Arabidopsis thaliana: one gene and its partners. The protein of the gene in region 1 purifies or fractionates together with the protein of each later gene. This does not show direct contact. Each region holds a gene or a part of one and is shown in the gene's direction. Other genes may lie near its edges. The genes, in order: CRR6, ndhJ, ndhK and CRR41.

Region 1 (3,438 bases):
ACCCACATTCGGAACGAACGAGATCTCAACGAACTAAAACACAAGCTCCTCCAAATTATTAAAAAAAAAAAACACGCTTCTTATTACATTCAGATCAAGAGTACTAACCCAATAGGTACAAGATCCGATTATAGATAGAGATCCGGATACAGAGAATAAATACCTAAGAAATCCCAAGCGAAATTAAAAAGGCCGCATCGATTCACAAGTTATACGAGCTTCACATCAATAAGAATCCAGGTGGAGCTTGGGAACAGTACCCAGGTCCCAGATTGGGGCATCGAAATCGACAACCAACACTCGAAAGCGAATGCCTTTTACAACCCACAGAAGAAGAAGCGGTCAGAGGAAATAGATTTTAGGGTTTGACGGGGGAGTGAATATGTATGTCTGTCTCTGTGTTATCCAATCGCTTCCTTCCTTGTCTCATTTTTAATTGTTGTCAGTCAGTCATTTTATTATTTTATCATTATTTTCTTCAAACTAAATTTGGTAACAAAGTTTTACATTTCATTCTAATTGACCGTATTCTTACCGATTTATCTTCTGCCTTTTTAATTAAGGGATATATATAAAGAAAGCTTTTCAATTATAGAAATAAATTAAGCTGCCACATGATAACGAAATTAAAGTGTGCTTTCTATGTATTTCTCTTTCTCGTTGTTATCTTTTGTTTTGGTAATGTTTCTAGAAATGTTGGAACTTCACCGAAATAAACATGGTAACTGACTAGATTCTAAAAAATCTTGTTCAAAATTCATCATATAAAATAGACATCTGAAGATAAGAAGACTTACAAATAGAATACTTTGGTTTAATGGAAACTTTCTTTCCGTTTTTCCTCTTTTTACGCAATTGTATTTGACAAAACAAAACTAAGCAGAGTAAGCTTTTTGTTGCCGTGATCACAGCACTTTCGCCGCTTTAATGGGCCAAAAGGTGTTTTAACGTTTTACTTTATATAATTAAGATGAAATCTTCCTTCTTTGGATATAAATAATGATTTGGACAACTACTGATTTGGTCAAAACGTAAACAAAAACAAACAAACAAAGGAAAACGTCAAAAAAAAAAAAAGGTGTTATGAGTTATAAAAAATAACATTATTGGGCCGTAAGAATCCTTTTTTTCGTCTATATGGGCCGAATTGAAGTCTAAATGGGTCTCGATCTTAACTATGCCTACACAGCATAAAGAAGTTAATCACTACAACAAAATCATCATTTGGCCTTATAATAGATATTCATTCTCAGGCACTCTAAGACACTGTGAAGTGGATCTTTTGACGCTTATGTTCATCTTACTAGATTGCATAGGTGAGCTTTTTCTCTCAAATCATATTATCTTTGCCACTGCTATGGTAGAGACCTTGGGGACTTATCTTTGCCAAGGAATGTTCCATTGCATAGCTATTTAAACTTTAAAGTGAGCAGAATTCTCAGTCTTTGAGCTACTTACTTACAAAGCCTCTATTGTGCAACTCCTTTGACCCGGTACGACCTTGGAAGACAAAGAAGGCCTCACTGCTTGCAAGGGGCAATGGCGAAGAAGAAGATCAGAGACGGTCAAGCTTGCAGATGCTCCTGAAACACCTCACCAACAGTGAAGGAGATTCGACAATGCCTACATCTACATGAGACCGAGGAGGCTGACTTGAGTTGAAAACATTCCACATTAAAGAAGAGAGCTCTTCATTTTTCTGAACGATTGAAGAAATGCATTCTGCTTAACATTTGAAACCTTTACGACAGACAGCAAAATATATGTATTTGTGCGGTGAAGGAAAAAAGGATAAAATGGAAAGAAATGAAGAAAAGGCCAAAAGAAGAGGATAAAAAGAAGACTAAGACACAAAGAGAGATAGCGTCTGTGAATGGCAACAAAGGCAGTTCTTCTCCCGTGGCTTATCCCATCGCCGAGACACGTATCGCTGTTCCCAGTGGTTCAATTGCCGGCGTTGGAGACCGCCGGGTGGTGTGTAAGAAAGAGGAGGGCAGAAGACGTAGCAGTCTCCGTCGCCTTCAATCCTTCTGGCAATTTCGACATCTCTGCCTTCGAGAATGACCAAGGTTCGTACTTGCTCAATTGATTCAGAATGATAAATAAAAAAAGGCTGCTACTAATTAATTATGTGAAAGGCGTAGCAGATTCAGATAAAGTGGAACCTCCGATGCCTCCAACGACCGGCCGGTACGAAGTAGTGATCGACAACGACTCAATTGGGCGGCTTGACCTATCCCCGTTTCAGAGAGCCATCGGCATAACCTCGCCTGATGATTTTGGTGTAGCTGAACCAAAACGGTATTTGGATCGAACCATCGGATTCACCATCAATTACAAGAGAGAAGACCCCGGGGATCCGCGGGAGCTGTCAGAGTACCCGGACGTAAGACTATGGTTCGTGAGGCTCGACGCGATGTACCCTTGGCTGCCTCTGCTGCTGGACTGGCGAGCTGGAGAACTTGCTCGATACGCAGCCATGTTAGTGCCGCACCAGATGAGCTTGAGAATGGGTGTCGTTTTCAATCCGGAGGCGTTGGAGCTTTTCGTAATGAACAAAGTGTTTGTGGTTTATCCGTGGCTGAAACGGCACGGCGTCCCAAAGCCCAGGTTGAAGACGAGCGACATGGCCAGGATGCTCGGATTCGGTATCGGCGATGAGCTCTTCGACTTGATCGATCACAATGAATGAAAAACGATGTGTTCTATCTTCAAATTACATACGTGGGCCTAATTGTGGGCTTACAATGAAAAAGGCCTGGGGATGGTAATTAAGAGGATTTTTTTGGGTATTTGATACACACGTGGCGAATATTCATTGGATAAGTTGTATTAATAGCCGTAAAATCTGGGAAAATAAATTCAAAATCTCGAATATCTGAAGAGAAGAGAGAGCCCATTCAAAATTTGAAAAACAAATCAACAATTGGTTTATTCGTATCTTTCTCATTTCTCTCTAGTCTATATCGCTCTCAGAATACAATTGGAAAAAAGAACAAGGTATTTAGGAATCTCTCATTCTTGAGTAGCTAAGCATTGAGGTCTCCTTTGCGTTTATAGATTATTTTTTTTGGTTGAAATTGTTTGGTTCTGTTGGGATATGTTGTTGTGTTAGGGAAGAGAACACAAAAAGAAATGGTTAGAGAAGAGGAGAAATCGAGATGGTGGTGGTTCGAGAGCCACAAGAGCTCCAAACATTCTCAATGGCTTCAATCAACACTCGCTGGTTGGTTCTTTTTCTCACTCAGTTCTTCTCTATGTTTTGTGGTTTTTGCCAACTTTTTGGTGTGAAACGTTTGTGGTGCAGAGATTGATGCAAAGACAAAGGCAATGTTGAAGTTGTTAGACGGAAACGCAGACTCTTTCGCTCAGCGTGCTGAGACTTACTACAAGAAACGTCCTGAGCTTATCAGCTTTGTCGAAGACTTTTATCGAGCT
Region 2 (2,920 bases), on another chromosome or scaffold:
CATTTTATTTCAATGGAGCCAATCACTATCTATCGATATATCGAGATAGATACTTAATTTATAATTTAGAATAAACCTTTTTCTTCATTAATTTTCATAGTTGTAATTTTTTTATATGAATTTTCCTCGTTCACTAGCTACAATCAAAAAGTTCATAATACTTTCTTTTTTTTTTTGTATCCCCACTCAATCTTGGTTACTTTTTTTATCACACGGCCTTGTTTAAAAATAAAAAAAGAAATCTAATTAAATTCAACCAAAATTCAATCTATCTAATACTAAGTAAGATGAGTATGGTAAAGTCTTACTGGATTTTTTGATACGTCATCATTTAAAAAACGAAGAGATTTTTCGAAAAATTTTTTTAAACATAAACAGAAATAAAAAAAATTACTAGTTATTAATCAGATTAATATTATATTATTATATTAGAAACTATTAGTAATAGAAACATGGAACTATTAAGTAATAAGTGTACTGAAAATAAGAAATCAATAAATCTTAAAACGAGACGTCTACCACAACAACCAAACGAAAAAAAATGATTCGATTAACCTGAATTTTTGTTTTGACTCAAGAGTTCTATATCCCTTGCCCAATCCACTCCGATTGGAATTGACTAAGCGGGTATTTTTTCCACATTCATAGGAGTTCGTCTATGTTTCTGCTTTACGAATATGATATTTTCTGGGCATTTTTACTAATATCAAGTGCTATTCCTGTTTTGGCATTTCTAATTTCCGGAGTTTTATCTCCAATTAGGAAGGGGCCGGAGAAACTTTCTAGTTATGAATCAGGTATAGAACCGATCGGGGATGCTTGGTTACAATTTAGAATCCGTTATTATATGTTTGCTCTAGTTTTTGTTGTTTTTGATGTTGAAACTGTTTTTCTGTATCCGTGGGCAATGAGTTTCGATGTACTGGGGGTATCTGCTTTTATAGAAGCTTTCATTTTCGTGCTTATCCTAATTCTTGGTTTAGTTTATGCATGGCGAAAAGGAGCATTGGAATGGTCTTAGTTCGTTTACCGAATACTTGATACAATAATAAAAAAAAAAAAAGTAAAAAAAACCATTGAAACAATTATGAATTCCATTAAGTTTCCCATACTTGATCGAACAACAAAAAATTCCGTTATTTCAACTACGTTAAATGATCTTTCAAATTGGTCAAGACTTTCCAGCCTATGGCCGCTTCTTTATGGTACCAGTTGTTGTTTCATTGAATTTGCCTCATTAATAGGCTCCCGATTTGACTTTGATCGTTATGGGTTAGTACCAAGATCGAGTCCTAGACAGGCGGACCTTATTTTAACAGCAGGTACAGTAACAATGAAAATGGCTCCTTCTTTAGTGCGATTATATGAACAAATGCCTGAACCGAAGTATGTTATTGCTATGGGAGCCTGTACAATTACAGGGGGGATGTTCAGTACCGATTCTTATAGTACTGTTCGAGGAGTTGATAAGCTAATTCCTGTAGATGTCTATTTGCCGGGTTGTCCACCTAAACCAGAGGCTGTTATAGACGCTATAACAAAGCTTCGTAAGAAAATAGCTAGAGAAATCTATAAGGATCGAATTAGACCTCAACAGGGTAATCGGTGTTTTACTACCAATCACAAGTTTTTTGTTGTACGCAGTCCGCATATTGGAAATTATGATCAAGAACTACTCTATCCACCATCATCTACTTCAGAGATCTCTACTGAAACATTTTTTAAATACAAAAGTCCAGTATCGTCCCACGAATTAGTGAATTAGGGAGGCTTTTAGAGAATCAGAAAAAAATCTTCATAAATTAGAATTAACGGTAAATGTGAAATACTTAATTTTATATAAAAAAGGTGTGGGGGAAATAAAAAAGATGCAGGGCACTTTGTCCGTTTGGCTAGCCAAACGCGGGCTGGTTCATAGATCGTTGGGCTTCGATTATCAAGGAATAGAGACTTTACAAATAAAGCCCGAAGATTGGCATTCTATTGCTGTAATTTTATATGTATATGGTTACAATTATTTACGTTCGCAATGTGCCTATGATGTGGCACCAGGTGGCCTCTTAGCCAGCGTGTATCATCTTACGAGAATAGAATATGGTGTTAATCAAGCGGAAGAAGTCTGCATAAAAGTATTTACTCACAGGAGTAATCCTAGAATTCCATCCGTTTTCTGGGTTTGGAAAAGTACGGATTTTCAAGAACGGGAATCTTATGATATGTTAGGAATCACTTATGATAGCCATCCACGACTGAAACGGATCCTAATGCCCGAGAGTTGGATAGGGTGGCCTTTACGTAAGGATTATATTGCCCCCAATTTTTATGAAATACAAGATGCTTATTGAATGATAAAAAATGAGCCAATAGGATGAACTAAAAAAAAAGAGTTCTGCATTATGAACTTTGTATCGCGCACATAACTTAGTCAACTTTAGTCACATAACTGGGAATGAATAAATAAGATCGGAAAGCAATAAATGAAGGGGGGGATACAATTCTATTTCTATTGTATCTAATGAACCTTGGGGTATTTTTGCCCTTCAACTATAGTATACTATACATATAGACCTTTTTTTACTTGTTTGATTCAACGGAACTCATTTAACCTTTCCTTTCGGATATGTATTATGTATCAAGTATTATACATTCTTTTTGAACGGCTGGATTCACAACATGAACAAAAAAAAGAGAGGGGATAAAGCATAATTGCACTTTTTTTACTAAAGATACGTTTAATTTGAAGAATAAAAACTTATCAAAATTAATAAATCCTCTGCCAAGAACCAGATTTGAACTGGTGACACGAGGATTTTCAGTCCTCTGCTCTACCAACTGAGCTATCCCGGCGAAGGATCATCCTCGTTTTACGAATGGTGGCACAACGATTTCAAGTCCCCCGGAAAAAAGCTATGTCCACCAT
Region 3 (3,039 bases), on another chromosome or scaffold:
CAAACTAATTGATTGATCTTATTAAGAAATCGATGTCTTACTCCATGACTTTTTTTTAGGAAAAAAGAGGAGAACAACAGCCTGACATTAGGTCCTATTAAAGTACCCCGTTAGGTAGGGAATGAATAGAACCCATCATTGATTTGAGATATTGATAGGGTGAATACCCAGTCTACTCAATGCTAGGTAGAATGAGTATAAGGAACTCAAAAATGATCTTTTCGTCCTATGAACCTTAAGGTGTATCAAGTTTCATGTTTGATTTTTTAATCAGGATGTTAGAGACTATATTTAACTTAAGTTGATCTAGACCAAAAGCAAACCTACGTCAAGAGAACCCTTCTTTGAAACACTTTGGTAGTTCTTCTGTATTGTATTAGAATTCAAAAATAATCAATCAGAGTACTTGGAACCATTTCTTATCTTTTTTTTAAGAAAAAATATGGTAGACTAACTGATCTTTCGATCAGTTAATGAAAGAGCCCAATGCAAAAAAAAATGCATGTTGGGTCTTTGAAAGAGTTCGAATCATTTTGATAATAATAAGTTCGAACTCTTTTACCGAGCAGGTCTACGGTTCGAGTCCGTATAGCCCTAACTAAGAAATTTATTCTAAAAAATCACATTAAAATCAAAATAATTGGATAAATTTTTTTACTTTTTTTTGTATTCTTTATTTCTAACAGGTTACTTTTAATTGCTCGGTTCATAAAAAAAATTTCCATATCATAAACCATAAGTCCTGGGGATCGTTCAGAATAAAACGGAAAATTTCATTTTATTTCAATGGAGCCAATCACTATCTATCGATATATCGAGATAGATACTTAATTTATAATTTAGAATAAACCTTTTTCTTCATTAATTTTCATAGTTGTAATTTTTTTATATGAATTTTCCTCGTTCACTAGCTACAATCAAAAAGTTCATAATACTTTCTTTTTTTTTTTGTATCCCCACTCAATCTTGGTTACTTTTTTTATCACACGGCCTTGTTTAAAAATAAAAAAAGAAATCTAATTAAATTCAACCAAAATTCAATCTATCTAATACTAAGTAAGATGAGTATGGTAAAGTCTTACTGGATTTTTTGATACGTCATCATTTAAAAAACGAAGAGATTTTTCGAAAAATTTTTTTAAACATAAACAGAAATAAAAAAAATTACTAGTTATTAATCAGATTAATATTATATTATTATATTAGAAACTATTAGTAATAGAAACATGGAACTATTAAGTAATAAGTGTACTGAAAATAAGAAATCAATAAATCTTAAAACGAGACGTCTACCACAACAACCAAACGAAAAAAAATGATTCGATTAACCTGAATTTTTGTTTTGACTCAAGAGTTCTATATCCCTTGCCCAATCCACTCCGATTGGAATTGACTAAGCGGGTATTTTTTCCACATTCATAGGAGTTCGTCTATGTTTCTGCTTTACGAATATGATATTTTCTGGGCATTTTTACTAATATCAAGTGCTATTCCTGTTTTGGCATTTCTAATTTCCGGAGTTTTATCTCCAATTAGGAAGGGGCCGGAGAAACTTTCTAGTTATGAATCAGGTATAGAACCGATCGGGGATGCTTGGTTACAATTTAGAATCCGTTATTATATGTTTGCTCTAGTTTTTGTTGTTTTTGATGTTGAAACTGTTTTTCTGTATCCGTGGGCAATGAGTTTCGATGTACTGGGGGTATCTGCTTTTATAGAAGCTTTCATTTTCGTGCTTATCCTAATTCTTGGTTTAGTTTATGCATGGCGAAAAGGAGCATTGGAATGGTCTTAGTTCGTTTACCGAATACTTGATACAATAATAAAAAAAAAAAAAGTAAAAAAAACCATTGAAACAATTATGAATTCCATTAAGTTTCCCATACTTGATCGAACAACAAAAAATTCCGTTATTTCAACTACGTTAAATGATCTTTCAAATTGGTCAAGACTTTCCAGCCTATGGCCGCTTCTTTATGGTACCAGTTGTTGTTTCATTGAATTTGCCTCATTAATAGGCTCCCGATTTGACTTTGATCGTTATGGGTTAGTACCAAGATCGAGTCCTAGACAGGCGGACCTTATTTTAACAGCAGGTACAGTAACAATGAAAATGGCTCCTTCTTTAGTGCGATTATATGAACAAATGCCTGAACCGAAGTATGTTATTGCTATGGGAGCCTGTACAATTACAGGGGGGATGTTCAGTACCGATTCTTATAGTACTGTTCGAGGAGTTGATAAGCTAATTCCTGTAGATGTCTATTTGCCGGGTTGTCCACCTAAACCAGAGGCTGTTATAGACGCTATAACAAAGCTTCGTAAGAAAATAGCTAGAGAAATCTATAAGGATCGAATTAGACCTCAACAGGGTAATCGGTGTTTTACTACCAATCACAAGTTTTTTGTTGTACGCAGTCCGCATATTGGAAATTATGATCAAGAACTACTCTATCCACCATCATCTACTTCAGAGATCTCTACTGAAACATTTTTTAAATACAAAAGTCCAGTATCGTCCCACGAATTAGTGAATTAGGGAGGCTTTTAGAGAATCAGAAAAAAATCTTCATAAATTAGAATTAACGGTAAATGTGAAATACTTAATTTTATATAAAAAAGGTGTGGGGGAAATAAAAAAGATGCAGGGCACTTTGTCCGTTTGGCTAGCCAAACGCGGGCTGGTTCATAGATCGTTGGGCTTCGATTATCAAGGAATAGAGACTTTACAAATAAAGCCCGAAGATTGGCATTCTATTGCTGTAATTTTATATGTATATGGTTACAATTATTTACGTTCGCAATGTGCCTATGATGTGGCACCAGGTGGCCTCTTAGCCAGCGTGTATCATCTTACGAGAATAGAATATGGTGTTAATCAAGCGGAAGAAGTCTGCATAAAAGTATTTACTCACAGGAGTAATCCTAGAATTCCATCCGTTTTCTGGGTTTGGAAAAGTACGGATTTTCAAGAACGGGAATCTTATGATATGTTAGGAATCACTTATGATAGCCATCCACGACTGAAACGGATCCTAA
Region 4 (3,221 bases), on another chromosome or scaffold:
TGTCGGCTCATTATTTCGCACCACAGAAGAATAACCCAAAATTATTAGAAAACTTGGACCACTATAAGCACTTGAACTGTGGTCGTGCACTGACTAATGTGAGCCCGTTTTGGTAATTCTCAGCTGTGTGCGTAATTGATGTCGGCGTCACCTTCAGAAACTTCGAAATTATGTGTGATACACCGTGTTTCATAAATTCATACACGTCATTTTAGATACAAAATTAGATATTTTCATTTGATAAAACCGAAAGAAATAATAAACTTTTTCTTTCTTGTTCTCATTTTAAGTCTCTCTTTATATCACTTTCTATATATATTGAATCATGCAAGGAATACACATAAAATACTTGTGTTCTTGTACTTGTTTGGTGACTCAAGCAAGACTCCCAAGCTATGGCGGAGAAGGTACTTTACCAAGATCTGAATTTTCATATTACTTCTCTTTTATTGATCATATCCATAATTACCCTCTAATAGAGTTACTAATTAAGGTAATAATGATCATGAAATTATATGATATGCACAAACAGGTAGTGATGATGAAATTGAAAGTGGATCTAAACTGTTCCAAATGCTACAAAAAGGTCAAGAAAGCTATCCGCAAATTCCCTCGTGAGTTTCTTTCTTTAATTTGAGTTTCTTTGTTCATTTGAATTATTGCGGGTTGAGAAGATTCTGAATCTTGATAAATGGATACGATTTTGTGGTATGTGTTGTTTTGCAAAAAAAAATAGAAATAACAGACGAATTGTTTGATGAGAAGTCCAACACGATCATCATCAAAGTAGTTTGTTACGATCCTGAGAGGCTAATGAACAAACTTTGCTACAAAGGAGACGGTTCTATCAAGTCCATCGTGATCCTTGAGCCACCCAAACCGCCTCAACCCCAGCCTCAACCACCTCAGAAGCCTACTGCCCCAGCCCCAGCCCCAGCCCAAGCCCAAGCCCCAGCTCTTGTTCGGCCGGCTCCGGTTCCTGTTCTTGTTTCGTCTTCCGCTCCTCAACCGATGCCGATGTGGCAGCCGTATCATTGTGGGCCGTATTACGAGGCCCAACAGTACCAATGTTATGGAAGGCCCGTTTACGAGAGCTGGGGAGGTGGACGACAATGTTGCCACGAAGATATGAACTCTCAAGGATGCTCCATCATGTGAAACACTGAACCAAGTCTCCTCCTACTCATATATAGACTATAGTATATACCAGCAAATAAATAACTACACGAAGTTATTTTTAATTGTCTTCGTCTTACCAGTATTTCTATTTCGAGTCCTCGTTTATGTATGTAAACACTACAGGGTTTTGTTTCTTGTGTATATCACGTTTTGGTTCTAATACAACTTTTATTTGCTCTTCTTTTCTTGGTAGTAAAATACAAATAGTAAGATTTTTCGCATAAAAATATAGTTTCTGTTAGAAAATAAAAGTATATTAGCACGAAAGAATGGAAACTAAAAACTCTGAGACCGGCCTCTCCAATGAGTGACATGAGTCGATGAATACTCAACTATTATGTTTTTACAGTTTACTTATCCACAGATGACACTGTTTCTTTCTACTGTGAAAAGAGCAGCCGTGGTGCTTACACCTCCACACGACACCGTTTAAACGGAAACTAAAAACGACGTGACGTTCTTGTCTGAAACACTTAAACGACGCTATAGTGTACTGTAACTCCAGAGAAGGCCTTATCTTTCTCCAATTCTCAAAACCCTCTTTAACACTCTTCCTCTAAGCTTTTTAAATCAATGGCTTCCACTTCCACACTTCTTCTTCCATCTCTCTCCTCTAAGAATCTTCACATCGCAGTCCCAATAAGAACCAATAGCTTCGTTCGTCGAACAACAAAGTTCTCAACAAAATGTTCGTCGAATCCAGAGTCAAAGGATCAATTCATCAATCTCACACCAGCACCTGAATCAATCAACACAACAAGCGCAGAGAAATTCCCAATAGAGAAACGAAGAAGATCAGAGATCATACGAGACAGAACACAAAGAGGAATCGAGAAACCAGAGCCACCAAACTTCGAAATCGGTTGGAAAAGAACAAAAGAGATAAACTTGGAGAAACCTAAAGGTTATGTAATAATGGATTTCTTAGAAAAGTTCGAAGCTTTAATGGCGAGAGAGTTTGGATCAAAGGAGCTTTTAGCTAAAGCTGGTGAGATTGTTGCAGAGAGAGCTAGAGAAGAAGCTGAGGTTTTGAGAGATGAAGGTAAAGTTGAAGAGAGAATGGTTACAGAGCTTTTTAGGGTTTTGAAATTGATGGAGATGGATTTAGCTATGGTTAAAGCTTCTGTTAAAGATGAAACTTTGAGTCAGAGGATTGAACAAGCTAGAGCTCGGTGTCGACAAGCTATTCTTGTTGCTAATTCTTTCTAATTCCTTCTTCTTCTACTTGCAAATTGAGTCAAAAGTCTATGAATTTTGTTTATAGTTTTACACAAAACAGAGCTTCTTCATCTGTAAAAGATCTTATTTTTTTGGTTCTGTAATCATCTCTGGATCATTCATCTGTTACTTTAATGGTAGAAGAAGGATTGAAGATGAGAGTCTCATGTGAAGAATCAAAACAAAGATTCATGCTTTTGGTTTTGCAATTTGTGAGGAAGCTTAAGGGTTTTTGGGAGGAAAAAACTTAATTAGTTGAGAAAATTTTACTTCCACTAGTTTCATATTTCAAGATATTTCACCAAGACTCAAGCTTTATTGTACACCACACATTAAAAATGCAAAGTTTAATCATTTTAACAAAAGCTTCACAAGCAGCAGTAGACAGCAACAATGGTGGCAGTCAGATTCTACGCTGTAGAGATGTCGCTACCATGTTTATGTCCATGCCCATCATCGCCGATTTCTCTTTCATTGTGTTCTCCGAGATTCAATCTTCTTAACACAACAAGCAGGAGACTAGGTTTGTCTAGAAACTGTAGAACTCTGCGAATCAGTTGTTCATCTTCATCTACTGTCACTGACCAAACTCAACAATCGTCTTTTAATGATGCTGAGTTGAAACTCATTGACGCTTTGATCGGAATTCAAGGCCGTGGCAAATCTGCTTCTCCTAAACAGCTCAATGTGTGTAAAAACTTTAAACTTTCTTTAATTTTCCGTCGTGTTTATGATTTGAGAGATTCTCTGTTGTAGGATGTTGAATCTGCTGTGAAAGTTCTTGAAGGTTTAGAAGGCATTCAAAATCCTGTATGAAATGTTTT

What was found.
Region 2: the proteins of CRR6 (region 1) and ndhJ purify together in Arabidopsis thaliana (affinity purification with mass spectrometry, with the first as the bait; one study listed by BioGRID). This does not show direct contact.
Region 3: the proteins of CRR6 (region 1) and ndhK purify together in Arabidopsis thaliana (affinity purification with mass spectrometry, with the first as the bait; one study listed by BioGRID). This does not show direct contact.
Region 4: the proteins of CRR6 (region 1) and CRR41 purify together in Arabidopsis thaliana (affinity purification with mass spectrometry; one study listed by BioGRID). This does not show direct contact.

What each region holds. Positions count from the first base shown.
Region 1 is NC_003071.7:19,612,868-19,616,305, forward strand, and holds CRR6 (chlororespiratory reduction 6), read left to right. Parts: upstream 1-1,789; 5' UTR 1,790-1,873; coding exon 1,874-2,069; exon of another isoform or gene 2,070-2,095; coding exon of another isoform or gene 2,096-2,147; coding exon 2,148-2,692; 3' UTR 2,693-2,902; downstream 2,903-3,438. Other genes in the region: NET3C (Kinase interacting (KIP1-like) family protein), read left to right, coding at 3,136-3,226, 3,308-3,438. UniProt on the Arabidopsis thaliana protein: Required for both formation and activity of the chloroplast NAD(P)H dehydrogenase (NDH) complex of the photosynthetic electron transport chain. May function in assembly or stabilization of the NDH complex.
Region 2 is NC_000932.1:48,102-51,021, reverse strand, and holds ndhJ (NADH dehydrogenase subunit J), read left to right. Parts: upstream 1-1,868; coding exon 1,869-2,345; downstream 2,346-2,920. Other genes in the region: ndhC (NADH dehydrogenase subunit 3), read left to right, coding at 659-1,021; ndhK (NADH dehydrogenase subunit K), read left to right, coding at 1,088-1,765. UniProt on the Arabidopsis thaliana protein: NDH shuttles electrons from NAD(P)H:plastoquinone, via FMN and iron-sulfur (Fe-S) centers, to quinones in the photosynthetic chain and possibly in a chloroplast respiratory chain.
Region 3 is NC_000932.1:48,757-51,795, reverse strand, and holds ndhK (NADH dehydrogenase subunit K), read left to right. Parts: upstream 1-1,861; coding exon 1,862-2,539; downstream 2,540-3,039. Other genes in the region: ndhC (NADH dehydrogenase subunit 3), read left to right, coding at 1,433-1,795; ndhJ (NADH dehydrogenase subunit J), read left to right, coding at 2,643-3,039. UniProt on the Arabidopsis thaliana protein: NDH shuttles electrons from NAD(P)H:plastoquinone, via FMN and iron-sulfur (Fe-S) centers, to quinones in the photosynthetic chain and possibly in a chloroplast respiratory chain.
Region 4 is NC_003070.9:18,932,590-18,935,810, forward strand, and holds CRR41 (potassium/sodium hyperpolarization-activated cyclic nucleotide-gated channel protein), read left to right. Parts: upstream 1-1,709; 5' UTR 1,710-1,752; coding exon 1,753-2,388; 3' UTR 2,389-2,710; downstream 2,711-3,221. Other genes in the region: AT1G51090 (Heavy metal transport/detoxification superfamily protein), read left to right, coding at 396-407, 533-614, 737-1,158; AT1G51110 (Plastid-lipid associated protein PAP / fibrillin family protein), read left to right, coding at 2,791-3,084, 3,154-3,207. UniProt on the Arabidopsis thaliana protein: Required for both formation and activity of the chloroplast NAD(P)H dehydrogenase (NDH) complex of the photosynthetic electron transport chain.